Linked DNA regions of Diceros bicornis minor. The protein of the gene in region 4 interacts with the protein of the main gene of each other region in a pairwise test. Links are inferred from orthologs where the notes say so. Each region holds a gene or a part of one and is shown on either strand. Other genes may lie near its edges. The genes, in order: RANBP3, HMMR, EXOSC8 and MORN4.

Region 1 (7,261 bases), on a different chromosome or scaffold from region 4:
CTGAGAAGACAGGCCAGACTGCTCTTTCTGTGCGGCCCAGCGCCCCTGGCAGCGTTTAAGCGCTGTGCCAGGAAGAGAGCCTTTGTGGAGGGGGCCGGAGGGGACAGCTGCCCTCCCCACACCCCCTCACAGGGAACCTTCTGTGTTAGCCGGGGCTCATCTACGAGGCTCGTCGTCATGGTCAACACTCCCATTGATAATTCTTTTGATGAACCCAAGGGAACGTTCTTCTGTTTCATTTCGGTTTTCCAGGTGGTATTTTCAAGATCCATCGACCCCTGCCTTCTCCTCTCCCTGGGCGCTGACCAGTACATGCCGAGTAATCACGTGTGTTTTTATCGTGTGTCCTTCGGAGGTTCGGTCACTGTGAAGGGGCAGTGCATTCCTCTAACTTCTAGAAATGGATGTATTCGATTTCTGTTTCAGATGTGAAAGTCACTTCTCTCGGGTTTTCTGTAAAATAGAATTTTGTAGAATTTGGAATTTTATCATGATCATCTTTTGAACCACTTTTAGTTTAAAACGGGTCAGCAAACTAAAGCCTGCTGTTACCACCTGTTTTTTTAAGTCAAGTTTTCTTGGCACACAGCCATGCCCATCCCCTTCACAGTAGCCAAGGCTGCTCTCACGCTGTAACAGAGAGTGAAGTGGTTTGGACCGAGACCATATGGCCCACGAAGTTGAAAATATTTAGAATCTGGCCCTTTACAGAAAAAAGTTGCTGACCTCAGATTTAAAACGAGTAATAGGAATTAATAATTCTTTAAACCTGAAGACTTTTGGACAACCAGCAGGATGAAACACTAAAATGTAATATTTGTTCGGTGGAGTTGAAAATGCTCATTCCTGTTTCAGTACTGTTCTCACAGTTGAGGTGCTTCTGTGGCTTCGTCATTCAAAGGCTGCCTTCTGTGTATTAACTTTAGAAGGTCGAGTCCTGTTACATAAATGGCAAATGGGGTGAATTGTAGCTAGGGAGACGCTCCCCATCATCTTAAAAATGTGCAAGTGCAGTTCTTATCAAAATATTGACCCAGAGCCAACTCTAAATGGGCTTCTAAAAATAACGGCTCTCCACTGCTGTCACAAGGTCACCGAAAGGGCGCGGCAAACCCCTCCAGAGCCGGAGGAGCCTTCATCACCATCCATTAGGGCTGCTTTCCGAGCTCTCGGGTGGACAGTGGCCAGATGGACGTGGAGTCTTCCTTTCTTTCTCTGCTGCTTGTGACAGCGCACAAGTAGGGCGGGAAGTAGGAGCTCAGACATCCAGCTTCCTTTCTCCTCTGCTGCCCGTTTAACGGCTCTGCAAGGAGCAGCCACAGTACTTCCGACAGCAGTGAGAATCTGGGGCTTCCACTTGCCTTCTCTCGGGCCGAGATTTCAGCCCGGCCCCTTCCACGCCGTAGACGCTGAGTTGGGAAAGGGCTGTTCAGGCTGTGCTCCTTTTTTTCTGAGCAAACTTTTCTCCCCTTTTCTCTTCGACTTTTTATTTTGCAAATTGTCAAATCCTCGGAAAAATTACAAGAATGGTGCAGCGACACTCGGGTCTCCTTCCCCCGGCTTCACTGTGAACGTTTTTATCGAAAGTGCTAGAACCACTCGGCTGTAAGTTGTGCCCATCTGACGTTTCTCCCCTAAATACTCCGCAGACATCCCCTAGGAGGAGGCCTTTCCTCTCCGTGGCCCCAGTGCCATTGTCCCTCCTGAAAACATGATCATTAATTTGGAAATATCCTTCAGTATATAGTCCATATTTAAATTGTCCCGATTGTCACCAGAACATCCCTTATAACTATTTTTTGAGCCATTTCTTGATCCGCAAAGATCTTTCCCCTATAATCTTTCATCTTGAATGATTTTTTAATTGATCCACAAAGATCAGGAAGTCCCGGTGTCAGCTGTGGGACCATTAACTTCCCTTTGAGTAACCCGTCTCTGAACCACCTGGTGGAGTGCGCTTCAGAGAGCCATGTCCCCCCTTCAGAGGAGCGCGCTCCTCAGGCCCAGCTCTCGTTACCAAATCATGATGGAGATAAAAGGTTTGAAATTAAAAAGAAAACAATTAAGCTGCCAGACAGGGTTTTGTTTTTATTTGGTGGCAAAGCCCCCCAGCGTTTTCTGCCATCCCATTGGTGGTCCGAGTTGCTTTCACATCAAACCACAGATTGTTGGCAGTGGCCCGCCGGTGGCATCGCTTCATCTCAGGATGAACGGTCACATCCTCCCATCGTTCCCTGTGATAGAGAGCGCTCGCCGTGGGAACTCCAGCCCTAAGGCCTGAAATCCAGCCCCAGAGGCAGACCGGCCGCCTGGGCACTGTCGTTGCTTCTTTCCACGTCCCCACTCTTCCTCTAGGTGGCGCTCTTCGTGAAGCACTTGCGTTGACCTGCATCTGTGTTTTAGGGGCAGAAATCAAACCTTTTTTTCTTAACTGCCTCGCGTTGAGACAGACAGTTTTTTCTTTTTAATGTGAAGAGAGCTTGAATCTCCTTCTGTAGGTTGTTTCATTGTTTGTGATGACTAAATGTTTCTTTCCGTTACTTTATCTTCCAAACATTTGTTAAATCTGAAGGGGAAGGCTTTGAGGCTGCCCTGGCAGGATAACGCCCATTTGTAACAAGACAGACAGCAGTTACAGAAACGCTGTTGAGCAGAAAGGCCGGTGTCACTGAAAGCTCTGTCGTAGTGTGTTTAGACCTGATTGAGAAGCTTGCTGTGGGCGAAACAAGCGTATCCTGTGTGCATAGCTATTTTCTCAGCCACATATATTTTAGCTCGATGTCAAAGGCTGCCAAAATTTTGGTGTTGGACTTTAACAAACCTGTTGAAAAACTCCAGGCTCTCTCAGTTCTTTAGAGATTACTTTTCTCGTCCAGCAAAAACACTTGGACCCAAGTAGAAAATGCTGGAATGGCACTTGTGTTTCTTTTTGGTCCTCCGCTTTAGGCTTCATTTCGAGTCCCCCATGCCACAGGGGCATTGGAACATTTATGTTCTGAAAACAGGGATTAAAAAACAAAAAACCCCAAGTGGTTCTAATTAGGGGCAGGCGCTTTCCCACAGGGTTCTGGGTTTAATTTCCTCTCGTGGAGTGTTAAATCTCTAGCCGTAAAGAAGCCACAGCCTGGTGTGCCGACCGACCTTGGGGTCCCGGGCAGGTTTGAGGGACAGCTTGGGAAGGAGGGCCCTGCCCGGATAGGAGGAGTCGATTTGGGTGACTTTTGAGATGTGTGGATGAGTCAACATTGTGTGCTTTTGCTTTCCTAAGAATGTTTGGAAGTCCTCTTAAATCCTCTATATACAGGTCCTTTCATCTGACAGGCCCACACGTTAAAAATCAGCCCCCAGGCCCCATCTAAAGAGGTTTGAGTTACTTACACTCAGAAGAAACGCAGCCACGTCTGCAGGGAGGCAGGGTGCCCCGTAGTCATTGAGTTCACAGAGTGAAACAGCTCTCTGTTGTGGACGATGCTGAGCGGGGGGTTTGGGGACCGGAGCCCATCTGTCCCAGGACACCAGCCTTATAACCTGTTTCTCAAGAAAAGAGTCTTGGCCTCAGAGCTCTCAGCCCGCGGAAGCCCCTCCAGAATCCCAGGAACCACCTCAGAGGATGCCGGGGGAGTTGTAATTTCGAGGATGAAGACTTCCGGAACTGGCTTCCTGACCCTGGCTGTTTTCCAAATCAGCCCTTGCCCAGAGCGTTTGGGGTGAGCCTAGGAGAACCGGTCACCCCGCACCTGCCCCACCGAGGCAGAAAGCCTTTCCTTCATCTCAGGGTTCAGCAGAACAGGTTGAAAGGTGCTCGAGGAACTAGGGCGAGCTGAAGCCTTTGGCCTGGACGCCCCATTTTGTGGCTGCCTGGTGTTCCGGCCACCTTCCCGCCTGTCCTAGTGGACAGGACAGTGCTGAGGGCCACCTCCCCTCCTCCTGTCTCTGAGGACGTGGATATTAACCCCTAGGGAGCATATGACATCCTCCATCCCCGTTTGTCACCAGGAGTGGTTTTCCTCCCCCAGGGCCCATCAGCAGATAGCTCCTGCCACAGGGCCCATCTCGCGGTTTTGAAAGTGAGCCCCAGGGTCCCTGCAGAGCCCAGCGGCAGCAAGTCCACGTGCATTTCCCTCTGTCGTGCGGGGGGCCGTTTTGTTGAGCAAAGCACGGGAGCCCATGCGGGCTCGCTTGGCCGTGCTCCGGGCAGGAGCCGCTGAGGTTGGGCTGTCTCGCCCTTTCATCCCCGCCCCTCCCTGCCCCGTGCTGCAGCCTTTATCCACATGGAAGGAAGATTGTCTTTTTTGCTCCCAGTCCTCTGCAGAGCAAAAAGACTTGTCAGATTTGGGAGAGGAGTCTTGAGGGGGGAGGCTGAGGCCCCCCACCATGGCACAGGTCACCCCGAGTCAGCTGGGGAGCACGGCCTAGCACCTCCTGCCCCCGCTAGCGCTTCAGCCCGCGCTCCTGAAGCCCAGCTTCTTCCTTCTCCGCGAGAACTGGCAGGGGTACGTCCATTTCCACCAGGATCCACGGCCTGGGGGTCCCAACCCGGATGGCCCTTTTCCCTTCGAGTCCCTCAGAGCCAGGCCCGAGATCATAAGCAGCTGAAGGTAACTGAAAAGACAGCAAGGTCCTCTTCATCTCCTCTGATTCCTGCTGCCGAAAGGTCTGGGAAGATTAAGTCCCTTTTCACATCAAGACTTTTCTAAATGGGGGAATATATACCCGTATAAGAAGCTAATCCTGTTTCCTGAAAGAGACACGAGGGGTCAAAAGAGGACTTGAGTAGTGTGGTAGAACCTTCCAAATCAGACTCGACCCCTTCTCGCTCCTTCCACTCCTCTCCCTGAATTGGAGCCTTCGAGGTCAGCGTCTTGGAAACGCGGGAAGCTCCGGCTCCTCTGACCTGTAGGAAGAGGCCATGTCTCAGGCAGATGGCTCTGCAGGTGCGATTGTGTTTGGACTGTGGTTAGGCTGTGAACTGCTTGTCTTCAGTGGAAGCAGGAAGGAGAAAAGACTCTCCCTTGGAAGCCACAGGGAACCCTTGAGCCCTTTATCTTTGTATTCAGAAGGCTTTGAATGATAGGTGGGGAAGGTTGTGAACTGTCGAGAACAAGAAGTATCTTGAGTTTCTGGAGTTTGATAAATTGGGAAAGGTAAACATCCTCCTACGTTAGGGCTGCAAACTCCGTCCTCTAGGTACCCAGTGACAGCGTCCCCCGTTCTCGTGATAGGGACAGTGACTCTTAACAAGAAAACAAAAGGCCCCGCTCTGCCATAGCGAGCGCCGGGCAGCCTTCCTGGTGTCACAGTTCCACACCTTCAGCGATTCCTCGTGTCGCATCACAGACCCCTGTGTTCTTAAGGAAACCGTAAAAATCCAGTTGCAGCCACCAAACCCCAGGATGCGCAGGAAGAAGTGACGTTCAGGAAGGTGAGGTTGGAGTCACATTTGAGCATTCTGGAGAAATCTGTGTGTGATGGAAAAAGAAGGAAGTCCTCACCATGTGCGGGGTGCAGGGTGGGCAGTCTTTCATGGTGTAGAAGTGGGTTGGGGGAGCAAAGCGTCTCAGAAGCCCAATAAAGATTCCAGCCAGGAGGCGCTGACACCAGAGTGTTCTGGAAGCGCAGCCCTCACACGAGAGCACAGGAGGGCTGGCAGAGCAAGAATTAGGAGGGGATGACTTTTTTGGTGGAGGGCAGAGAAGCTCCTGGAACCTTCTGAGTCGGGCGTTATGAGTTACTGTGTCTTCGGCCATCGTGAGCCCAGGAAATCGTGTTCTCAGTTCCCTGAGAACAGACGATCTTCACGAGGATCTGCACACGAGGCTCTTGCGCTGCTGCCTCGAGTGGAGAGCGCAGCTTACGGAGGAGTCTCCAACTGAGGGCAACACACGAGTAGATCCCAGAGGTCGTGTCCTGGCAGCTGCTCCTCCAGAGGCACCCAGGCTGCCCCGGGCCCTCTGCCAGTGCCCACTCGGTGAGACGGGTGGGTCACCACCCCCAAGAGGCCTGGGCAGGAAGTGCCCTGGGAGCCTCCCCTCCTGCCTGTGGCCAGTCTGGGCCTTGATTTCCGAGGCCTGGCCGGTGGAACTCGGCTTCTGAATTCTTGTAGACGTTGGGGCGCAGGCTCTAATCCCGAGAAATTCAAGCAGTCTCCAGAGTGGCAAACGCAAGGCTAGCCGTTGTGGCGGGGGGACCTCGAGATGTTAGGTCACCATGAGAGAGAGCCAGCCTTGTTGGGCATAGTGGTGAAGGCCGTGCATGTGACAGACACACGGGCACTCTTTCTTTGAGTGTTCGTAACCGTAGGAGTCCTCAGTTCCATCCGAAGTCCCAGCAGCGCCAGCGTCACCTCATTTGGTGACAGCTCTGAGCCAACCAGGGCTCACTCCGTTGGGCCCTCAGTGGAGGAAACCCTGGCTGGCTGCTAATGGCTCCCGTTAATTGGCTGTCTACTGATGGGGCATGTTCAAGGCAAAGTGGACTTTGTTTTTCAGGTCAGTTAGGACATAAGTCAAGGCAGTTGGAAGTCATCCCAGCTTCTCGGGCTGAGATTTTTCCTTGGTTAACCGGGACTGGTTGCTTTTGCCTCGGAACAAATTTGGATCTTGCTGTGTACCACGCTGGAGGTCCTGAAACCGCGCAAACGTTGCCCAGCAGGTCTCATCCGTCACGTGTGGTCTGCTCTTTATTCCTCCTTCCCTCGGGGAATGGAAAGCTACGCGTTCTTGATGATAAATAGTGGCTCTCTGAAATGTTGCTCATGAAGGGCCCTTATCGTCTTTCCGTCTCATCAGAGCTCTGGCCGTTGAAGACTCAGTACCAGGAAAAAGTCTCTCTCAGACTTGCTGGCTCTCGGAAGACAGCTTGAAGAAGGCCAAACCACAGCCAGATTACGTTCTCTCTGATCCGCAGAAAGCAGGCGGCTTAGTGCTTACCCTGGGCCCGGCTGCGGTCTGCTGGCCTGAAGCTCCAGCCAAGGCACCGCTGGGCTAAAGCATGTTTATTAGACCCACCAGGAAGCTTGGAAAGGTTCTGGAATGAGCCCCGTGGCTGGACAGCTTCCCTCGTCTTCCAGCTCCTGCACGGGGTGTGACCCTCGTTCCATTCCCGCCCAACATCCAGATCTCTGGAGCCCGTTTCTTTGTTCCGTGTCTGCCTTTTGGGTAAGCGTGTCTGAGCTGGTTGCCTCAGCCGCAGAACAAACAGCATTGAATTGGCCCGTGGTCCATGTGAAGACAAGGGCACATCAACAGGCCCCTCCCTTAAT
Region 2 (7,436 bases), on a different chromosome or scaffold from region 4:
GGGGTATGTAAGGTAAAGGCAGACTTAGCAAAAAGCATTAATCTTGGTTAGCACAGGTTTCTCAGACCTCACCAACTATTTACACCCTGGGGTGAATAGTTAGGTGACAGGGGTTTCCCTAAGATCAGGTTAAGGCTGGCACATCTTAGAGTATCTATTTTACTTATTTGGGATTAGAGGTGCGGGGAGGCAGTGGGGAACATATTATATTTTAAAGCAAACAGGAGGCTTCAGAGAAAACTGTCACCACTACTGTTAGTTATGCTGTTTTGGGGAAGTAGGAGCGAAGGGATGCAGAGACAATGGTTATTCTCCTTTGCTCTCTGCTCTTAGGAATGCTTCTGTGGAAAAGCATGGGAAGCAATGCCTTAGACTTGGCAGAGCAGCCAGAAAATAAAATGATACTGAATTCTAGTATTGTAGTTCATCATCAGGTCCACACTCTCAAAAGGGGATAAAGGCCAGCAAAAGATGGGATGGTGGACAGTGACCAAGCATCAAGCAAGCTGACAACAACTAAAACCATACTTAACAGAAACTCTTCCCTAAAGACTCAAGAGTCAAATTTGATAGTTATGGAGATTTAGATTTAAGAAGAACTAGGTTGAAATTCAGGCTGTATACCTATCAACTCTTTGTGAGACTGTGGCACATGCCATTTTCAAGGTCTTTTCCTTAGTAACAATTCAATGTACGACATTATAGATATGACTTGTTAGAAATCTGGGGAGAGGGAACATCAGACAAAAGAAATAGGATATCTTGGGAGATATCGCAAGCTTTCTGGAACAACTTATATCTTGGTCAACAACGACTGGAAGCTAACACAGGCAGCCAACACTTGTATGCAAACAAAACATTTTATGCATTAAAGAAATGCTTCAAACTTCCAGACCTCTTTATTTTCTATTTCTCCCACCTAGAATGGACAGCCCACCTTTCATTTTGCCTAGCTAACTCTCAGTTATCCTTCAGATCGGTCTGGATGTCACCTCTTTGAGTTTTCTCTGAAATCCCAAATCAGGTTAGAAACCTCCCTCCATAGCAGCCTGCACATATTGTTCCTATCATAGAACTTCTTATAGTTTTGTAATGGCTTATAATAATGTACTTATCCATTTCCCACATTAGACAAAACTGCTTGAAGTTGGGGACTGTATTAATTATGTCTGTATCCACAGTATTTAGCTCATGGTTGAGTTTGGCAGTGTGGTGAAGAAAACAGAAGAAAGTCGTTGGGGATGTAGGGATGGGAATAGAGTTTTGTAATCAGCCAGATCAGGGTTCAAATCCAGCTTTGTCTGCCAATCAATAGAGATACTTCTACGCGCCAGGTAATTTGTTCTCATAGGGAGAAGTTGGTAAATAAGACCATTATACTCTCTCCTTTTCCAGTCTAGCTTTAAGACCCTGGAAAGTTATTTCTATTTGAGGCTGATTCTTCATTCAGGAAACAGGAATAAAAAAATAGTGTCTACCTCAGCATGGTCGTTAGGATTACTGGAGTAACATGAGAAATCACTACAGTGCTTCACACATACACCAAGCACATACACACACACACATACACCAAATAAGTGATAACTGTTATTACTCCTGAGACTGTGAGCCTGAAATATTGTGTCATTGGTAAAGCCAGTTTAATTTACTATAAAGCAAAAAGAAAAAAAAAAATCACCTTAAAAGACACACTACTGATGGAACTTAGAGCAGGTTCTTTGACTAGCTGGGAAATAACTAGGTCTTTGAGACTTTTAATTAAAAAACAAGCTTTGGTTGATCCATTGCCCACTTGGCCTTCCTTTGTGAGCAGAGTGATGCTCATTTCTAGCCGCATATCAGCTGATAGAAATTAAAGACGTAATGAATGACTGTTAAAAAGTGTATACTAGAATGGATAAATCATGGCCTTTAATGTTCAGCTCTACCACTTACTGGCTGCTCAGTACAGTTACAAAACCCCTAAACCTCATCTGTAAAATGAGGACAATATTAGTCTCTTCCTCACCTGGCTGTTGGAAAAAATAAACCAGATCTAGAAGGGAAGAACTTAGCACAGTCCCTGCATATAGTTAGCATCTAATTAATGATGAGTGCCTTACTAACCACATCCAGTCTTCCTGGTTACTGTGCTTATGCATTGCAGTGGTTAAGAGCACAGGATACACGCGCACCCAGTTTCACGCCTCAGTTCTGCCAGTTTGGTTGGTTAATATTGAGCAATTCTAAGTCTCAGTCTTTTTATCAATAAAATAATGAATAATAGGATTACCTCTCAGGGATGTTGGGGAATTTAAAAAGGACTAATAATCAATGTCAAGACAGTATGGTGCCTGGGGTACCATCAATAGTAGCTGCCACTACTTAAATTATAGTGTTTTCGGTAAATGCTACTGCTTTAATTTTACACCCATAAACTACCTGTACCAGTCTTCCTTCTTTCATGTCCGAATGGACTATCCAAAAGAAATAAACAAGTTCAGACGAAAAGCAATGGTCAAAAGTTTTTTTTATCAGTGAGGCCTTCCGGATTTGACCATCAAATAGCTACCAACGCTTCGTGGCCCCTTTCCTTTCCCTCTGGTTTAGTTTCTCCACAGCACTACTTGTTTACTGGCTGTATTCTAAACTGAAGGTAGGCTCCATGGGGCAGGGACTTTGCTTCGCTCACTGCTCTATCCTTATCATCCTAAATTGTGCTTGGCATGTACTAAACGCTTAGTACCTATTCCAGAAAAATGAATCAATTTAATGAGCCCCATCCCAGCTCTAAAATCGCCTCCAATATGCCTATGATGAAGGGAACACCGAGAGGGGCAAGGGGCGTGGGATCGTCTCCCGTCCCCCAGCTCCTTTCCCCGTACGCACCGGAAGGGTCATTGAATCGTTTCAGGGGCGCCTTAGGAAAGGACATGCTGACGACCAGCTCCACAGACCGAAGGTGACTAGCGTTCCTCGCCAACTTCCTGCGGCTTATTACGGACTTAATCGCTTCAAATTCAAATCTCGCCGCTCATTCCCCGCCCATCCCGACGTTAGCCAATTGGAAAACCAAAACCCTGGGCACACCAATCCAGGACGGGAACATCCAAAGAGCGAGCGCACTCCGCTCTCGCCGAGTCCTATCAGATAGCCCGTGAGTTTAGGCTACCAGCCAATAGGAGACTACTTCTGTCGTGTTTCCCCCGCCTCCCGCCGCGCGTCCAATCGCTCCTGGCTTTATTCAATTGTAACTTACGCGCTTAGCAGCATTTGCGCAAGCGCACTTCATACCTGAGAAGTTTTCACGTTTGAATTTGGCGTCATATAGGTGACAGTGCACTGAGTTCCAGCTTAAGTGGTTCTAACCCTCTCTCACCCTTCTTTGAATGTAATCTTTTCTGGGTTTCAGTTCTTTCAAACTGGGGCCTTCCCAGTTTGGCCTAAAAGGCCATTGAAAGGGAAAAACGAACATACAGGCTGACTTCAGCTCACATCCCTGCGCATGTGCAGTGCCCCGAGCGGCGAGGCCGGGGCGTGGCCTGACCGTGAAGATTTCGCGCATGCGCTCAGCTCGCACGGCGCGGCTGCAGCTAGGAGGCAACCGAAGTATGTCGGTCCCGTTTGAGGAACGCAGCGGGGTGGTTCCGTGCGGAACGCCGTGGGGCCAGTGGTACCAGACCTTGGAGGAGGTGTTCATTGAAGTTCAGGTGCCGCCAGGGACTCGCGCCCAGGATATCCAGTGCGGCCTGCAGAGCCGGCATGTGGCTCTGGCCGTGGGTGGCCGCGAGATCCTCAAGGTAGCGGCAGCTCGGGGCTTGTGCTGTTTCTTCCCCGGCTCGCTGAATCCCCGAGTGCTAAAATTCATGGTTTTCGTGGAAAGACTTGGAAAGCCTTACGGCTCCTGTGAGTGGCCGAAAGAGAGAAAATTGGCTTGGTTTTGATCTGGTTAGAGCCCCCACCCTCAGGGCCAGTCCTCAGTTGACCTGGAAATTTGCGGAGCCGATTTTTCTGGCTTTATTTCTAAACCAGATGAAGCTGCTGCTTTTGTTCCTCTGGGGGTCTTTAGCTGAGAACAACTTAACTAGGTCGTTAAAGGAACAAATTTTATCGTACATATACTTTCTTCCAGGCACTGATCTAGGTGCGCGAGACAGATAAGGTTCCTGTACTTGCAGAGGTTATATTCTTGTAGAGAGGCATAATTAAACTAATACATATTTAGGCAGTTATGGGAAAGTAAAGAAGAAAATTAAGGATATCGGGATGAAGATTGCAGAGATGATGTCAGGTGATTTTCTCATCTAAAATTAGAAAAATTCTGCGTATTCGTGGAGCAGTTAAGCATGTGGTCAAGATGTGTGTGAAGAAAATAATTAATACCACTTTGGTTCTCACCAGTGCCCTTTGGCTCTGGGACCCGTTTTGTCCTTGTTAAGCTTTATAGTTAAATTCAATTAAGTTGAAGTTAGATATCTTGCTCGGATTAGATGCCCAAGATGTTGGAGGACAGTATAGTGGTGAAGGGAGACTACTTGGTAGGAGATCTGGCTCTGCCGTTTTTTTAGTTTTGTAACCTTGGGCAAGAGATTATTCAGTGTCTCTAATCCTTCATCCACAAAGTGCGGTAATTATAGTACCTTTCTCAGGATTGTTGTGGGCATAACATGGTATCCATGTGAATGAAGAGCTGGGAGTAGTGCCAGGTACTTAATACGTGAACACTGTATGTTAGCTATTATTATTTTATATGGAAGTGCTTTGCCTCCTGCAAAAGGAAGAGTCGTATGAAAGACTGATTTATGTCAACTTGGATCTTAATGATCTTTCTGAATATTTGAGCATTTCATAGTTTCCTGAACAGTGGTTCAAGATTACACCTCACATTTACTTTAGTAATTCCAATAACTTTGGAAATTTAGCATTAACTCTAACTCTAGGATTATAGGTGTACATTTAGACCAGTAAGATTTTTTTTTCACTAGTATTGACATATGAAAAAATGAGTATTCTTTTTTTATGTGACATTTTAATTTCATTTCCTAAAACTTAAATTTGGCAAGTAGCAACAAATCAAAATGGATTCGAGCAGATGGATTGTCTTTTAAACTTATATTTTGCTTTTTTTTAATTAAAAAAATTTTTTTTGCTTATTTCTTTCTTAAGAGATTCTGAAAAATCAGTCACAACTAATCTGACATCATATCTGCAGTATGTGCTTTAAAATTTTTTAAATGCCAAATTGCCTGACAAAGAGATTAAACCAGTTTTTAAAAATTTATTTTGAAAGACATCCTTTCTTCTTAATTTCAGTAGGAGAGCTCTTGTAGTTCATTTTATTTCATTTTATTTTTTATTTATTTTTTTGTGAGGAAGATCGGCCCTCAGCTAACATCTGCCAATCCTCTTGTTTTTTTTTTTTTTTTTTTTTTTTTTGCTGAGGAAGACTGGCCCTGGGCTAACATCCTGCCCATCTTCCTCTACTTTATATGGGACGCCGCCACAGCATGGCGTGCTGTGGTGCGTCGGTGCGCGCCCAGGATCCTAACTGGCAAACCCTGCACCGCTGCAGCAGAGCGCGCGCACTTAACCACTTGCGCCATCGGGCCAGCCCCTGTAGTTCATTTTAATTGGTAAAGTTAAAGTATTTCAGATATTAATTTCACATTTGGCTAATCAGTGATCAGTAATATTTCTTTATCTTCTAAAAATTAAGAAGTCCTGATCTTTTTTTAGAGAGCCCTGTGTTCTTTGTCATAGTAAATATTCCAAGCATTGTAAACTAGGTTCCATTTCACTTGCTAGGAGGAAACTTAGAGTTGAACACCTATCAATGTGTTAAAATGGTACGAAATTTGATCTCTCTGTTCTAACCAAATTAGAAAATTATATGTGGATTAGATAGGAAATTAGGTAAGTCTTAAATCATGAGAGCTTTATAAAAATTAATGAAATGACTGTATTTTTAGTGCTTTATATGTTTATTTTTCAGGGCAAACTCTTTGATTCTACAATAGCTGATGAGGCAACATGGACTTTGGGTAAGGGTAATTTATTGTAATTCTTAGAATCTTTTTAAAAATTAATTTAGTCTTAGAACTTAGTATGTTTCCCCTATCGTATTAGGTCCTTTGTCTTTGCAGCTTTGGAAGATATAATAATAGAAGTGTACTGAAAACAATTGTATGTCAAGAATACATCATGGTTTTTGAAAATAAAAAATTTAATGATGAACTTTAATTTTTTTGTGATTTTTGTTTGTTCAGAAGACAGAAAAATGGTCCGTATTGTTCTTACAAAGACAAAGAGAGATGCAGCAAATTGTTGGACTTCTCTTCTAGAATCTGAATATGCAGCTGATCCTTGGGTGCAAGACCAAATGCAGAGAAAACTTACATTGGAGAGATTCCAGAAAGAAGTAAGTCAGATGAATGTGTGACTATGTATAGTTAAACATCTTAAAATCATAGAATAGTTATTATTTGAAATTAAAACTCAAATGTTATAAAAATTATGAAAAATATTTAGAGTAATGTTTTTTTTTCTTTTGTGAGGAAGATCAGCCCTGAGCTAACATCCATGCCAATCCTCCTCTTTTTGCTGAGGAAGACCGGCCCTGAGCTAACATCTGTTGCCAATCCGCCTCCTTTTTTTTTTCCCCTTTCCCCCCCAAAGCCCCAGTAAGTAGTTGTATGTCATAGTTGCACATCCCTCTAGTTGCTGTATGTGGGATGCGGCCTCAGCGTGGCTGGACAAGCGGTGCGTCGGTGCGTGCCAGGATCTGAACCCTGGCTGCCAGTAGTGGAGCTCGAACACTTAACTGCTAAGCCACGGGGCCGGCCCCTAGAGTAATTTTTTAAGTTAAGTGGTTAGAAAAATGATTGGCCTTTCTCTGTATGGATTTGATTTTTAATTTTCTTTAGAGGGATTTATTTGTACTGCCATGATTTTTAAGTTTAAATTGGTATGTTGTATACCAGTAATACATGAACAAACTCATAAAAATTCAATCAATATAGACTTACATAGTTTAAAAAAGTGAAGGGTGCCTTTATCAACATTTCCCCATTCCATGCCTTTGTCTCTTTCTCATCTCATCAGTATATTAGCTTGCTTGTTTTGTTTTTAACATAAATGGTCACACTTCGTGTATTTTTCTTGTTGCTTTTTCATTTAATAAATTGTCTTGGGTCTCTTTTCCTACTAGTACATATAGATAAAACTTATTCTTTTTAACTGCTTCAGAATGTTTTCTAGTTTGAATGTATCATAATTATTTATTTAGATATTCCCCTTTGATAGGATTTAGATTTCCCCATTTGTGTCTATTTCAAAGTGTGTGCTTTCATTTCTGTGAAACTATTCAAACGTTCTTTTAAGATAGATAGATAGGAGAAGAATTACTGGATCAAAGCACTGTTCAAGTTTTGATGGATAATTTCCATCTGTGTGATGAT
Region 3 (7,667 bases), on a different chromosome or scaffold from region 4:
TTGGCTGAGAGACTCTGGGTAGGTTATTTAATTTCTTACCATTCAACTTCCTCATCTGTAAAATGGGAAATTAACAGAGCCTACTTTTAGGGAATGTTAATGAGATCAAGTGAGATGTAAAGTCCCTAACAACCTGGCAAGGAGTAAGTGCTCAAATCTTATTATTAGGTAACACCTCAGCTTTATGGAGGGAGAATCTTAACTTAGGTTAAGTAAACTCACAGAGTGCAACATACTCAAAAAAGCAACAGGCTTTGGAGTCAGCTATATCTAAGTTCTATTTGTGAGACATGTTCCTGTACACATTACTGAACCTCTGTAAAACAGGAGACAAAGAGATAAATTATATCTCAAATGATTCTTCTGAGGATTAAACTGGATAAATCTGTAAAGCACCTAATACAAGGTGCCTGAAATACAGCAGATACCCAGTAAATAGCAGCTGTTGTCCCCTCAGTAAATAGTAGCTATTGTCCTCTCAGGCTTCTCTTTTGAACAATCTCGATTTTCTACACATTTGCACAGATTAAATGCCATCACGGGACAAAAGGATGTCACCAAAAATCTCTCAATTTCTCAGATGACAAATTTTCTAAAAATTAAAGGTGGTGAGGATTTTTTAAATGGTTTTATTTAGTATTTTGTGAATGTTCATAAATTAAGACTCATTAAACTTGGGTCATATTATCTAATACTCAAAGGTGAAAGCTCTTGGAAAATGAAAACAAATACTAAAAAACTGACACCTGACTGCTTAATCAACAATAGAATTATAGGTGTCTATAATAAGTATATGAAGCTAATTTGGTAACTTAAATCTCAGTAAGACATATATTAAACCTACCGCTTTAATTCCACAAATTACTGTAGTATTTCCCAGCTTCACTAAAGCAGAACCATCGGCAGTACTAATTGAACCTGAAAAGATAAGTATTTAAGCAAAATGAAGACCATAAGAAGTATTTTCGTTTTCTATGATTTTATCTTGCTACACATCTCAGTGGCTTATGAAAATTTATTCCTAGCCTGAGTCTTTTTAAAATGGTATAATTATTTAAAATTATTGTTTTAAGTATTATTCACCTGTCCTTGAATTTGTTAATCATTTTCATTCAGGCACAGGACTGTTATACAGATAAAAATCTCATGACACAAAATCATTGAAATCCCTTAAACATGGTAGAATTTGGCTGAAATACTGTTTAAGTGGCTGAGAGGCTACAACTTGGCAATGTCATACAGGTAAAACTAGAAAATTCAGTGTTTGCAACAGAGGATTTAATAAGTTTAAGACATATAAGAACACCCTGTGTTGGAGATTCTGAAGGAAGGAAGGGGAAAAATAGTTACTTTAAAATTTTAAATAACATATCAATTGAGAGAACAGTGAGTTTAAAGAAAAACTTTACAAACAAAAATTCTTTACTAGTATTAAAAATCAAAGCAACTTCAACATTCTATTAGAATTCAAAATATCCTCACCTATGTTGACAGTTGTGGTTCTGAATTCACCAAGTTCTCTTCCATCAGGACGGCAGTTCTCTTTCTAAATATATTTTTATGAAAGATTACATCTATATTTTACACACACCAAGGAAAACACATTAAACCTCGTTAACTCGAATTAATCTGAATTACTTGAAATTGTTTTTTTAAATTGAGGTATAATTAACATATATTAGTTTCACATGTACAACATGGTTCAACATTTGTATATATGAAAATTGTCTTTAAAAGAAGCATAAGGTATTATCAAAAGGCATAGCATGTACATAACCACCTTTACTCACCAAAAATCTCCTGTAATACTCCAGAGGTTCCACAGTTCTGAAACACGTGTTAAAAATATATCTGAGGTAAGTTAATGAATCTTAACATAAATCCAGAAATTGGCAGTGTGGTGATGCAGCATAAATTTCCACAATTTGTAACTAAGAGTCTTTCATGAATTCTGATGTTTGTGTTGCCACATGTAACTAATTATAAAAAGTAGATAGGCTTGCAGGAGCAATCACACTCGACTGCTGTCCTTAATTCTGCGTTAAACAATTACAGGATTGGAGCCCAAAGTTCTTGTGCATCTTTAAAAGAGGATTAATCCAGGTGTTAAAATAATGATGTCACTCTCGCTCTGAAGCAGGAATTCTTGGTGAACATGAAAAAGAGTTACATCTTTACTTTCACTATCTAAATTACACTGAAATTGAGCATATTCTTCAATTATGACTGTAGGCAATAAACCGTCATATTAGCAGTATTTGCGACTTTAAAAAAATCAGAGATTAAATGTTTTCGTTTTTACTTCATAATTGTCGAAGGTATGTTTAGACTCATTGTTACTTTGAAATTCCAAGAGTTAGTTACTAAACTCCCCACAGATTTTGTTGTTTAAGAAAATCAACTTTAAAACAAGTACCTAAAATACCTGAACTCGCAGTTTATACAGATAACTGTTTCAATATAATTGGTTTCCTTTGAAATCTTATTTCATCCATTTAAAAACTTGCCTCTGAGAACGAAAATCTATAGGCTTCGCCAGAGCGGCACAAAAAAGGTTTAAGTAAAACCTTCCGAACAAGGCATAACCCTTTTAGAGATAAATTACAGGAGAGGAAGAATACGATAGCGTGTGGTTCTGATGCAACACTTTTTAAAAGATTACAACTGTGCCTCCTGGCGCCGCACGTCCACCACACACCAAGCCACAAGCGCTCGCCCCAAGTACCGAACTCGAGGCACAGTCCCTTCCATCCTCCCTTTCGGGGAGAAGCCCCCTTTCCTTTCACTACGACCACCTCCGGTCCTGCCGCCTCTCGCCCGCTTCCGAGGGGGAAAGAAGTGGGAACCTAGTGGGATGCCCTCCAGGTGACAAAATCCCAGCTAAGGGTTAAAGGAAGCCGCGATGCACCAGCGCACAAACTCGCGCCCGCCGGCCACCGACACTCACTTGAACCCGGCCGCCATCTTCCCGCCCGCGTGCCTGCGCCGGCGCCGGCGCCGGGGCGACCCCGCGCTCCGCTCGCGCGCCTGCTCCGCCTCCACACTTTGGACACGGACGCCTGCGCCCTTCTCCCGCTGCAGAGACGCAGGAGGCTGGGGCGCCGCGAGGGGGCGCTCGCACTACGTTCGCTTCCACCGTCCGTAGCCGGACGCCTGTCTGGCTTTCCTTGCCTTAGAGGTGTTTTGGCGAATCTGCTGTTAGTGAAGTGACGAGCGGCTCTCTTTAGAAACAGTCTGGAAGTTCAAGAATTTAAGAGAAAACCGACTAACAGCCAAGAATCTAGTATTGAGTGTGGAGCATTATTCCAATGTTTCTCCGTCCTTTCCCCGCCTCCGGCTCAGACCGGGCCCTGGGCTTGTCTTCTCCCAGGTAAAGGGCTCCCTGCTCCAGCACCGGAGAAGCACGTTCTTTTTCTGTGCGCTCGTATCCGCGCCAGGTTACTCTTTGCAGGTCCCCGGAGCGGGTTCCAAAGGAGCAGCTTGTGTTGAAGGCTGTGTCGTGGCTTACGGCTTCCGCATCCCTCCTTGATAGGGTTGCCAGATAAAATACAGGATATCCAATTAAATTTGAATGTCAGATAAACAAAGTATTTTTTTCTTTTTACTATGAGTACGCCTGGAATAGTGCATGTTACTTTGTTGTTAACAAGGGCTGCGGGGAGCAGGGAAAGTTTTAGAAATAGAGTGGTGATGGCTGCAGGAAATTGTGAATGTAATTAGTACAACTGTATTGTACACTTAAAATGGTTAGAATTTTATATTTTATTTTATCACAGTTTTAAAAAATGTAGTATACCAACACCTTTTAAGTGGATGGGTTGTATGGTATGTGAGTTATATTTTAATAAGGCTGTTAAAAAACAATTAGTTGCTTATCTGAAATTCAAATTAAGTAGACATCCTATATTTTACTTGCTAATTCTGGCAACCCTACTAGGGAAACACAGTGCCTGCCTCTCCACCCTCTGAGCGCCTAGCAGACAAGAACTACTAGGTGTTCTTCGCCTTGCCGCGCGGGGGCGCTGTGGGCGGCGGCTGGTCCCGGTCGGGCCGCGCGGGGGCGCTGTGGGCGGCGGGCGCCCGGCCGGCGCGTCCTCTCTGCGGGCGGGAGGCGGGGCTGCCGGCCGCGCTTCCGCGTGTGTGTAGGTGCTGGATAGGGCGGGCGCGGCGGCCCGGGCATGGAGGATGGTTCCGCTTCTCCTGCAGCTGGCGGTGCTCGGCGCGGCGCTGCTGGCCGCAGCTCTAATACTGGTGAGGAGAGGGGTTGGGGACCGACGCGGGCCTGGGCTCACTGCTCTCCTGGAAACGCGGCCCCCAGGCGTCCTCGCCTCCGCACTGCCCGCTCCTCGTCGTGTCCCTTTTTACCTTGCTTCCCCCGAGCCTGGACCCCAGAATTTCCTCTCCTAGAATTTCACGCCCCCTTTCTTCCGCTCTTTATTTTTATTTTGGAGCTTTATCTCCCTTTGTGCTCAGAGCCTTGTACGCTTGTTCATTTTGGGACGTGCTCGCCCAGTCTTCACTTTCCCCTGGTACCCGGACCCACTGCCCACCCGCCCTGTGTGCCCCGACCTCTCCCGGACTTCTTCCCGGGTCTGCAGCCTCTGCAGGTCTGGCTCCGTCCGGGGAGGTCTTGAGCCCCCAGAAGGTGTGTGTGGTTCAGCAAATAGGAAGTGGTGACAGCACTGACAGCAGCCGTCTGTTACAGGTTGGAATCAGTCGTTGGATGGGGAGACCCCCTACGGACATAGGGAGACCAAAATAGATGAGGCCTGAGGTTACCATATGTCTGGAGGTCTTTATCTCCCAGAACTAAACACCCTAAATTTGCTGCTTCTAAATGAGGCAGTACAATGGAATTCAAACTCGAATTTTCTTTGCCATTACTCTGGAAACACGGAAATACATTGCTGTTCCATAAGTAATAGAAAATTTGCCAAGTGACCTTTCTCCCGTATAATTTGGAATGGGCCTGCCATCTAGTTAGTAAATGGAGAGGTTTCTGCTTCCTTGACATTCAGATTAACAGCCTAAATAACACTCTGCTGTCTTGCCGCAAATATTGTAAACTCACAGCTGGAAACAGTTTCGATAGAGAAAAAGCAGTGTATCTTGCCATCTTTCGTGATTTGTGTCTGAGTGAGAAAGAAGTCCTCTTTCCCTTAGTGGTATATAGAGGTTTCAGGGGTTTTGTGGGGCAGAGTTTGACAAAATCCTACATTGGATCTGCCTCATGTTGAATCTGTTGCACAAATCTAAATGTGTACATTATGAGGTTGTGCTGGAAGTATTTGATCCCACTAGCCTGAAGTGATTATGAGAGCTACCATTTATTGAGTCCTTACAATATGTTGGGTATTCAGTGTTTAACAGGGATTATCTCATTTGATGTTGGAAACAACACTGGCATAAATGTTATCATTAACTTCATTTGACTGGTGAGGAAACAATTTGGAGAGGTGAGCTCATATATGCAAATATCACATAGCTAGGGAAACTTCGTTTTTTAAAAATGCTAGAGCATTTAAATCATTCCCCCTTACCTAAAAAAAACCACAACTAATCTTCTATCTTATATATTCAACCTCCATACATGCTTCCCCCCCCACTTCCTTTGTGAATTATTTTGAAGTAAATCCAAGACATAACATTTTATCTGTAAATCCTCAGCATTTGTCTCTAAAGGTAGGACTCCCTCTTAAAAATAAAACCACAGGGGCCGGCCCGGTGGCGCAAGCGGTTAAGTGCGCGCGCTCCGCTGCGGCGGCCCGGGGTTCGCTGGTTCGGATCCCGGGCGCGCACCGACGCACTGCTTGGCAAGCCATGCTGTGGCGGCGTCCCATATAAAGTGGAGGAAGATGGGCACAGATGTTAGCCCAGGGCCATCTTCCTCAGCAAAAAAAACAGGAGGATTGGCGGATGTTAGCACAGGGCTGATCTCCTCACAAAAAAAAAAAAATAAATAAAACCACAAAAAGGTTGTCACAGATGTTTTTTTAAGTGTAGCCATTATTCAGTGATGTCAAGTATCCGGTCAGTTCAAATGCCTCCTGTGTGTCTTGGTACAGTCAGGCTGTTCCAGTCAGCATTCACACACATAGCACTTGAGCAACATGCCTCTAGTCTCTTAATCGATAACCTCTTCTCTTCTCTTTTTTTCCTTTTCCTTGTCTCCAACAAGTGGTCATTTGTCCTGTGTCATTTCTCACAATTTAAATTTCACTGATTGCATCCCCTTGGTGCCTTTTAACGTCTTACTCTGTCTCCTGAATTTCTTGTAAACTGGTAGTTACATGTAGCGACTTGATCAAATGTGTGTTTGAGTTTTTTAATCAAGAAAAGTGTGTGAGTGATGCTGAATACCTCCTCTTTTATCACATCAGGAGGCGTGTAATGTCTGATTTTCTCTGGTGTTAAGATGGACCCACAGGTTCAGGAGTTGTTAGCCTGACCCACCATTTATCAAGCTTGTTATTAACCTAATGGTTTTAGCAGTCATTGATGATCGTTACCTAAATCCATTATTTCACTGGGAGTTGCAAAGTGAAATATTCTAATTGTATCATTCCTTCGTGTATTACCTGGAATTCTCTAATGAAAAAAAATCTCATCCTTGGCTATTCAGTTACCCTGAAATACCTTTCATATATAAAAGGTAAGATAAAAAAGGCAAGTTTTCAAAATAATGAGATAGTTGCCTGGAATTTTACAAAAGTGACCAATTTTTTATTTTTAGTATCATTGTGAATCCATAATATAAAATATATTTCATATGTTTCAATCCATTGCAGTAATTATTCTTTTTGGTGCTCAAATCCTCCCATCATAGGCCAGTGGGAGCCCCTCACGTTGGCTACTTTGTCCTTTTGGCGTGGCCCTCACAGTCGTGGATACCTTCCTTGCTTTCTGGTCTAACTGTTCTTCCACTGTTGTACATTTCCTGCCCCAGACCTGAATCAGCCGTTCCTCTTAGAAGCACTGGTTGCTTTTAGTGGGAAACTGAATTTGGAAACCACAGTCTGGACACTAGGGGTGCAGAACAGAAACTCTTAACCACTAGTCTGGATACTGTCTCCATGCTCATACTAATCAGAAGCATATTCAATTTCAGTCTGTACCCAATGGAATATTATAAATGGTCATCAAATTACAAATGAGTAGCATTCCAAAAATTTGTAGATTGATTGTTTTGCAAGCAGAAAGTATACCAATAGAAACAATGTTACAAAGAATGGTATTTCTAAAGCTAGCTCCCAAATGAATATGGAAAGGAGCTATATAATGTTAGTAGTGCATGGTGCCTACAGCCTACAAGTTTGATACTTTACTCTAGAAAATACTGTATTCTGAATTCAAATCTGGGATAAGTATCAAGAATATATTCTTAAGCATTAGTGGTTCCTACTATGAGGATTGAGGGAATCTTCCCTTCGTATCCTAAGTCAATCTGGTCCTGGATGGGAGATCTGCCCTCACCCCACACATTCCACTGCAATATGAACTTGTCATCTGTCACATACAGGCTCCAAGTAGGGGTGGGACCTCATTGTGATTGTGCCAGAGTTCAGGCATTCAGGGCATCTAATAGTAGATTGCACTTCTGTAGTGACTGTTCCCTATTAGATCTGGAATGACAGAGGGCTAGGGAATGACAGGTTGGAAGAGACAAA
Region 4 (6,880 bases):
CAGCAGTTAACTAACATCCTCACTCAAAGCTTTGGAAGGAGTTATTGCAATTTGAGGAGTCAGACTGACTACACAGAGGCTCACGGGGAGCAGCCTCTTGTATCTGTTTACTTTTTCTCAAGGCTACTTGAAACTTCCAAATAGTGGCATCCCATCTTGTTTCAGAGGGACCAAAAGACGGTCCCTGAAGGAAGGGAAGAGTGTTTGTCCAGTCTGAGGATTATCTATGGACAAAGTACTAGCCAGCCCTCAAATTGTGAACCTAGCTACTCTTTTGGTATGATGTTAGCTCTTGGGGAATATACTCTAAATATTTCAAAGAAGTCAATGAAACTTGAAAGATTATCTTATTACCAAATGTGGCAAATAGCATTTTCCAAAGAATCTGACATTGCAATTGCCCCTTCAAAAGGTAGAGTCTCACACCTCTCCTTTGAATCTGGGCAGGCTTGTGATTGCTTTGACCAATAGAACACAACGGAAGCAATGGTATGTTGTGAGGTTGGATTATAAAAAGTGAGGCAACTTCCCTCTTGCTCCCTGGTAGGCTTGTGCTTGGAGACCTGAGCCACCACATGAGAAACCAGACTACCCTGAGGCTACCATGCTGCGAGGAAGCTGAGCCATGTTTGTTGGTGCTCCAGTTGGCATTCCTCATCACTGAATCATCCTAGCCCAGGCAAAGGAGCCCTCAGATGATTGCAGCCCCCAGGCATTGAGCCCGCATCCCATCTGCGGTATCATAGAGCAGAGAGAGGTCATTCCCATGATGCCCTGTCCAAATTCCTGACTCACAGAATCTGTGAGCATCATATGATTGTTTTAAGCAACTAAGTTTGGGGCTATTTGTCACACAGCAATAGTAACTGGAACATCCTCTCCCATTTGTTTTAAAAAGTACATGCTATAAATTTCCATTCCTTTTTGATCCAGGGAGACACAGCAAACTTCCTTCAACAGTTGCTTGTCAAAATGCTGTCCATTCCCAAGAACACAATCAGAACTGCTAATTAAAGGGAACACACATAGACTCCATGGGTCTCAGGCCATGGTTTAACACATTTGACTAGAAACTTTTACATGTGTCCAAATAACTGATACTGTCACTGCCTGGGACAGTGTCAGGATTTTCATATGACTTCTGTAGTTAGCCACGCTAATTAATAGTCAGCTGCATAGCCACTGACCCAAAAAGGAACTTCACCAGTAACCACGGTCACTGAGACAAATCTAATTCAATAAAGTATCGCCACAACTGATGAAGACTGAAAAACCCAATACTTTAATAAGGGATGCAAATCAGTATTTGTATCAGTTATTCAAAAAATCGTTTTAAAGAGAAGAGATAGCCTAGGAGTTTAGGCTTCAGATATACATATGGAATCTAGTTACAATACCAAGATGATTCACGCTTCTAAACAGATACCCACGCTTCCAACTCTCTTGATAGACGGGTTGCTAAGAATTAATCCAAATGTTTATCTAAAAGAAAATGATGATTTTGTCCCTGTAAACCAATATACTATTAGTCTGCACAACAGACTACATCCCTGCTTCTTATTTTTTCCTGCCCCAGACATTTCCAAGTAGAACTCGGAGACAGGAATGAGAACTTTTGTTTCTGTTCCATTTGTCTTTTTTTTAATTTCAGAAATCAAACTAGTTAAGAAATATTCATGCATTCACAGTAACCTGTGTCCAAATTCAGAGGGTTTTTGAAAAAAACTAACATAAAGGAGAATAGGTTTTCAACAGAATATTGTTTAGAGGCAGCCACCTTTATCCATATACATCTTCACATTGTCCCCCTAAAGCCACCCTCCCTAGGGTATGACAGTCTTGTCAAAGTTGTTCAGTTATAAAGAAAGCAGTTCTTATGATTTTCAATCCTAAAGAGAAGAAAGTGAAGGCTTTGATGAACCAAGATTAGGCTTGTAAGGAATCTAGAACAAAAAGTCAAATGTTCTTTTTCAGGGGTTTTAAATGAGCTTGAAACAACTGTATTATAAGTCTATAAGTCTCTTTTACTACTTCCTTCCACTCTAAAAGTAAACAAACGTATTGCTACTAGATAAACGTCTTATTTAGGAAGACTGTGAGATGGTTAGATTGAAGAAAGTGGGAAGGAAATCCTGACACCAGAAAGATTGTAAAAAAAGAAGAAAGAAAAAAGAAGGGAGGAAGGAAGGAAGGAAGGGAGGAAGGAAGGAAAGATGGAAGGAAGGAAGAGAAGGAAGAAAGAGAAGGAAAGAAGAAAGAGAAAAAAAGACTTGGAGGTGATGGGAACTGCCAGGATGCTATTCTATTTCACGGCAAAGGAAAATGCCTTGGCCGGTTCTAACGTAGCTGACTTACTCCTGCTGGTACCCAAGCAGTTTGCTGATGCTAGACTGCAGGGATGCCACCATCAATAATTGAGGCATTCCATTCCCCAAGCCTCGATGTGCGTGTGGGACGTCTCTCCACCACAGTGTGAGAGAGCCGGGCCCAGAGCAAACAAAGCCCTAGACGCAACAAGGCAACACTTCCCTGTCGACTCCCCATTCCTTCTCCCACCCGGTTCTTGCCTTCCAGCACCGCTCCTCCCCTCTACCGGGTCTTCTGCTCACACAGGTCTGCCATCCCCTCCTGACGCAGCCCCACCCACCCCGCTCGCTAACCCAAGTACCGTGGGCTCTCCCGGGCCTCAACCCCCGCGGTGGGGACGAGAGGCCCGGGTTTGCGACCCCTGGGGCAGCCGCCCTCCGGTCAGCGCGTCCAGGATGGAGCCGCGCTCCCCAGCCCGTCATCTCGGGCTGGGCTCCTCAGTCCCTTCTTCATCCGACCACACGCTCCCGGCCCACTCCCATCCGCGCTGCCAGCCAACCTGGGCTTGGCCTTTCAGGGTGACCGTCACGCCCCGACGCGGGGCTCCAGCCGCCCAGACCTCCGCTCCGTCGGTCTCGCCCCTGCCACCTGCCTCTCGGCCACCTCCACCAGCGCCTGCTCCGCTTGACGCCGCCATCCCGGGCAGCCGCACTGGGCACAATTCCCGCTGCCTATTGGCTGTTACCTAGGCAACCGGGAGCAACGCCACTCCCCATTGGCCCAGCCCGGGCTCTGCGCCATCTTTGTGCGGGGCGGAGTGTGTTGAGAGACGGGGCCAAACGTCCGACAGAGGGGTGGGGCTGAACCCCACCTCCGCCGCCCGGACAGAGAGAACTCAGCTGTCGCCTACCCAGAGACAGGCTAGCCGAAATGTCAACCCCAAACAAAACCAAGCCAAACCTGCGTCAGACGCAACAGTGACCACCTCGGGCGGCTCCGATCCTGCCCCGTCTCCACAGCTGTAAACGGTACCACCGCGGAGTTTAAGGACAGAACCGGAACCTGGCTTTTGAGGTGCAGCTTTGTACGTTGTAATACACTGGACGGGGCAACTGCAGTTTAATGAGTGTCACCCCGTGCCAGCTCTGTGATATGAGGACACTTTTGCATCCATTGTAAGGATTTGTCTTGTAGTTGTCATTACCCAGATCCTTTGTAGTTACAATACAGTGCCAAGATTGGAGAAAATCCTCCCAAATACCATGCACACCAATCCGTTTATCCATATGTTTATTTACTGAACAGTGTGAATGCAGTACGATGCTAGGTTCTGCCAGGCTGGAAAAGACATGATCACTGCCCTCATGGGACTTACTGCCTAAATGTGGAGAAGAAAAGATTCATGCACATGGAAAAATCCAAGACTATATTTCATTAGTAAGAGAAGGCAAGTGCGTGAAGAGAGTAAGCAAATTGCTTCTCTAAATTAGGATTTCCTCATCTGTAGGATAGAAATGATGATGATAATAATAATGATGATGATAAAGTCTCCTCAGGACTTGTCTGAGAATACAACGTAAGATGCTTGGTACTGTGTCTGAAACTATCAATAAATGGTAGTTTTAAATTGTTTTAAAAGACTTTGATTCGGTGTTCAAATCCCGTGTCTGCCACCAACTGTGTGTGGCTTCAAGCAAGTTATTAAGCACTTTAGCTTGTAAAATGAGATTGGACTAGGAGACCTATAAGATTCAATCTAGCTCTAACACTCAAAGGTTAAACACGCTAAACTCTGTGGTATTGACTATAGATATAATTGCAGTAGTTGAGAGAATGGAATATCCAGAAAACAAATCTTATAAGATTGGAGAATGTGTATTTAAAAATACGAAGAAGTAATGTTACATAGATTGTGGTCAAATTATGGAAAAACCTGAAAAATTAGGGAGAAGATATGGTTTGCAAAATCTAATTTCTTGAATAGGCAAATTAATAGACAGAAAGTAGAATACAGGTTACTAGGAGCTAGGGGAAGAGGGAGTTACTGTTTAATGGGTACAGAGTTTTTGTTGGGATGATGAAAAAGTTTTGGGTATAGATAGTGGTGATGGTTACACAAGATTGTGAATGTATTTAATGTTACTGAATTGTACACTTATGAATGGTTAAAATGATAAATATTATGTATATTTTACCACAATAAAAAATGTAGTTTCTTGATCAGAGCAGTGACACAATGAAATTAGTGTTTTAAGAAAATTAATCTGGCAGTGATACCCAGAGATAATCAGAGAGATATTGGAAGCAGAGAAACAAACTCAGAAACTATTGTAATCATGTAGCTAAGACATTCTGAGAGTCTCAAAACTAATGTGGCATCAGTGAAGATGGAAAGAAAGGGGGTAAAGATGAGACACATTTCACAGAGATATTTAATAAGAAGCAATATAGTGTTAAAAGCATGGAGCTAGTCTGCCTGGGTTTGGATCCAGCTCTGCCACTTACCAGCTGCATGACCATAGGCAAGTTACTTTACTCAGCTTCCAACGTCATAGGGGCTGTAATGCTGGTTACATGACTTACTCTATGTAATGCACTTAAAACAACGCCTGACACATGCTTAGCATTTGGTAAGGGCTAGCTTTTCATAGGTAACAGGGAATGCATTGACACTCTTTTTTTCAGTAAAAGGAAAACCAAGTTCCAAGAGGGAGATACAGAAATAAGTTCTGAGGGTTTTCCATACAGAAAACTCAGAATTCAAGAGAGAACTCTAAATCTTGGGGCTTTCCTTCACCATGATTTGAAGCTTAGGGAGTAAATGAGATGAATAATACCAAGAGATCATGTCGGTGGCTATGGCCCCTGGGACACAAGAAGCAAATATTACTTAATTATTTGATGCTGGATAGGAAGGGGAAATACACGTCTTGTAACTAAAAGGGGAAATTGAACCATCTATATGATCTTTGTCTAGAATGGTTTACCTGGCAAAAAAAGTTTAAGACGTTCCCATACATAGAATTAAACAATAGTTCTTTCAATTTAGTACTTCTAGTTAGCTGTGGCAATCATTTGATTCAAGAAAGACTGATTATGAAATATTGGTTACTATGTGGCTGGTCATCTTTTGTGAAAACTCACGCCTTTAGTCTGCTGGTTACTTTAAGCACAAAAGCAAAACCAGTATCAATCAAAAGCTCAGCAGTGATAAAAAGCTACCATTTGTTGAACGCTTTTTATGTACTAAGGGCTATGCTAAGTGCTCTACATACATAATGTATGTAGTAAATGTAGAATTTAATGTATTAAATTCTTATTTAATCCATTGAGGAAGTGATGATTATTTCCATTTTATAGATGATGAAACTGAAGCTTAGAGAGTTAACTCATACAAAACAATAAGTGTGGAGCGGGGTTCAAACTTAAATGTCTCTGATTCCCTCTTTTCTCCCCCTTTTTCCCCAGTGATCTAATTATATTCTTCCTTTAAGACTTAGCTCATAGCACATGCCCCACTTAAGGCCTTTGCTGACTTTCCGGCCTACCCCCAAATTACTAAACTCCTCTTGTGGAGGTTTCAGCTCTCATTGTTGGCTCTTTTTCTCCTACTGCCTCACAGAGCTGTGTGTCTTCAGCTTGAGGGCAGGAACTATATCTTCCTTCTCTTTGCTGCTAATAAAAATGTATTGAGCACCTACTGTGTCTAGACACTGAGGTTTCACAGTGATGAATAAAACAATCATGGACTCTTACCTCTTGGTATTTTTAGTCTAATGGGACCATATCGTTCTTCAATTAACAAATAAGCATTGGGCCAGGCACTGTGTAAGTTGCACCAGGGCTGGAGTTTTTTAAAACTTTTTTATTTAGTTAGTGTTAAAAACAAGACAACAGGCCCCAAATGGAGTCAGTTATGCTAAGCCCCATGTCATGAAGCAGAGACTTAATACTTAACTGACTGGAATCTTAACCCAGTCAGTCTGGAATTACCTGGTCAGCACTAGTGAGGTAATCTGCCTGATAGACCCCTGCCATCCCTAAAGGAAGGTGACTTGGCCACAACCAACCCACTCTTTGCTAGTATAACTTCCTTGTCTGGCTCCCTTCTGCCTTTAAAAGCCTTCCATTTTGTACAGCTCCTCAGAGCTCCTTTCTGTCTGCTAGATGGGATGCTGCCCCATTCATGAGTCACTGAATAAAGCCAATACGATCTTTCAAATTTACTCAGTCGAATTTTGTTTTTTAACAGCATGGATTTTATTTCTTTGCTTCACTTCTGTCTCCCCAGCACTTAGAACGTAGTAGGTGCTCAATAAATATTTAATGAATGAGTGCCTGATTGAATGAATGCAGATACAAAGATTAGATTTCTCCAGTCCCACAGCTGGGTCATAGTAGGCACTCAATAAAGGAATGACTGATTAAGTAGGCTACTTTACTGAAGGCTCCCGAACACCCGTCAGCAATTGGAAGCTAAGGGCGGGGCGGGGCTGGTAAAAGCAGAGGGCGTGTCTGACCCGGGTTTGGCTCCTAGAGCATGCGCAGTCTTCACAGAAGGTGACGGGCGAAA

The links.
Region 1: the proteins of MORN4 (region 4) and RANBP3 interact in a two-hybrid assay, tested with the Homo sapiens proteins (2 studies listed by BioGRID). The two-hybrid records come from large-scale screens. The link is inferred for Diceros bicornis minor from reciprocal best matches to the Homo sapiens genes MORN4 and RANBP3.
Region 2: the proteins of MORN4 (region 4) and HMMR interact in binary tests that used the Homo sapiens proteins (3 or more experiments, as listed by UniProt). The two-hybrid records come from large-scale screens. The link is inferred for Diceros bicornis minor from reciprocal best matches to the Homo sapiens genes MORN4 and HMMR.
Region 3: the proteins of MORN4 (region 4) and EXOSC8 interact in binary tests that used the Homo sapiens proteins (3 or more experiments, as listed by UniProt). The two-hybrid records come from large-scale screens. The link is inferred for Diceros bicornis minor from reciprocal best matches to the Homo sapiens genes MORN4 and EXOSC8.

What each region holds. Positions count from the first base shown.
Region 1 is NW_026691615.1:2,332,848-2,340,108, forward strand, and holds the start of RANBP3 (ran-binding protein 3), read left to right. Parts: upstream 1-4,256; 5' UTR 4,257-4,271; coding exon 4,272-4,493; intron 4,494-7,261. UniProt on the Homo sapiens protein: Acts as a cofactor for XPO1/CRM1-mediated nuclear export, perhaps as export complex scaffolding protein. Bound to XPO1/CRM1, stabilizes the XPO1/CRM1-cargo interaction. In the absence of Ran-bound GTP prevents binding of XPO1/CRM1 to the nuclear pore complex.
Region 2 is NC_080740.1:78,364,099-78,371,534, reverse strand, and holds the start of HMMR (hyaluronan mediated motility receptor), read right to left. Parts: upstream 3,002-7,436; 5' UTR 2,915-3,001; coding exon 2,869-2,914; intron 1-2,868. Other genes in the region: NUDCD2 (nudC domain-containing protein 2), read left to right, coding at 3,591-3,779, 5,972-6,020, 6,246-6,397. UniProt on the Homo sapiens protein: Receptor for hyaluronic acid (HA). Involved in cell motility. When hyaluronan binds to HMMR, the phosphorylation of a number of proteins, including PTK2/FAK1 occurs.
Region 3 is NC_080748.1:19,384,443-19,392,109, reverse strand, and holds the start of EXOSC8 (exosome complex component RRP43), read right to left. Parts: upstream 3,008-7,667; 5' UTR 2,965-3,007; coding exon 2,948-2,964; intron 1,828-2,947; coding exon 1,791-1,827; intron 1,547-1,790; coding exon 1,483-1,546; intron 919-1,482; coding exon 845-918; intron 1-844. Other genes in the region: ALG5 (dolichyl-phosphate beta-glucosyltransferase), read left to right, coding at 4,186-4,251. UniProt on the Homo sapiens protein: Non-catalytic component of the RNA exosome complex which has 3'->5' exoribonuclease activity and participates in a multitude of cellular RNA processing and degradation events.
Region 4 is NC_080745.1:63,377,941-63,384,820, forward strand, and holds the start of MORN4 (MORN repeat-containing protein 4), read right to left. Parts: upstream 3,005-6,880; 5' UTR 2,867-3,004; intron 1-2,866. UniProt on the Homo sapiens protein: Plays a role in promoting axonal degeneration following neuronal injury by toxic insult or trauma.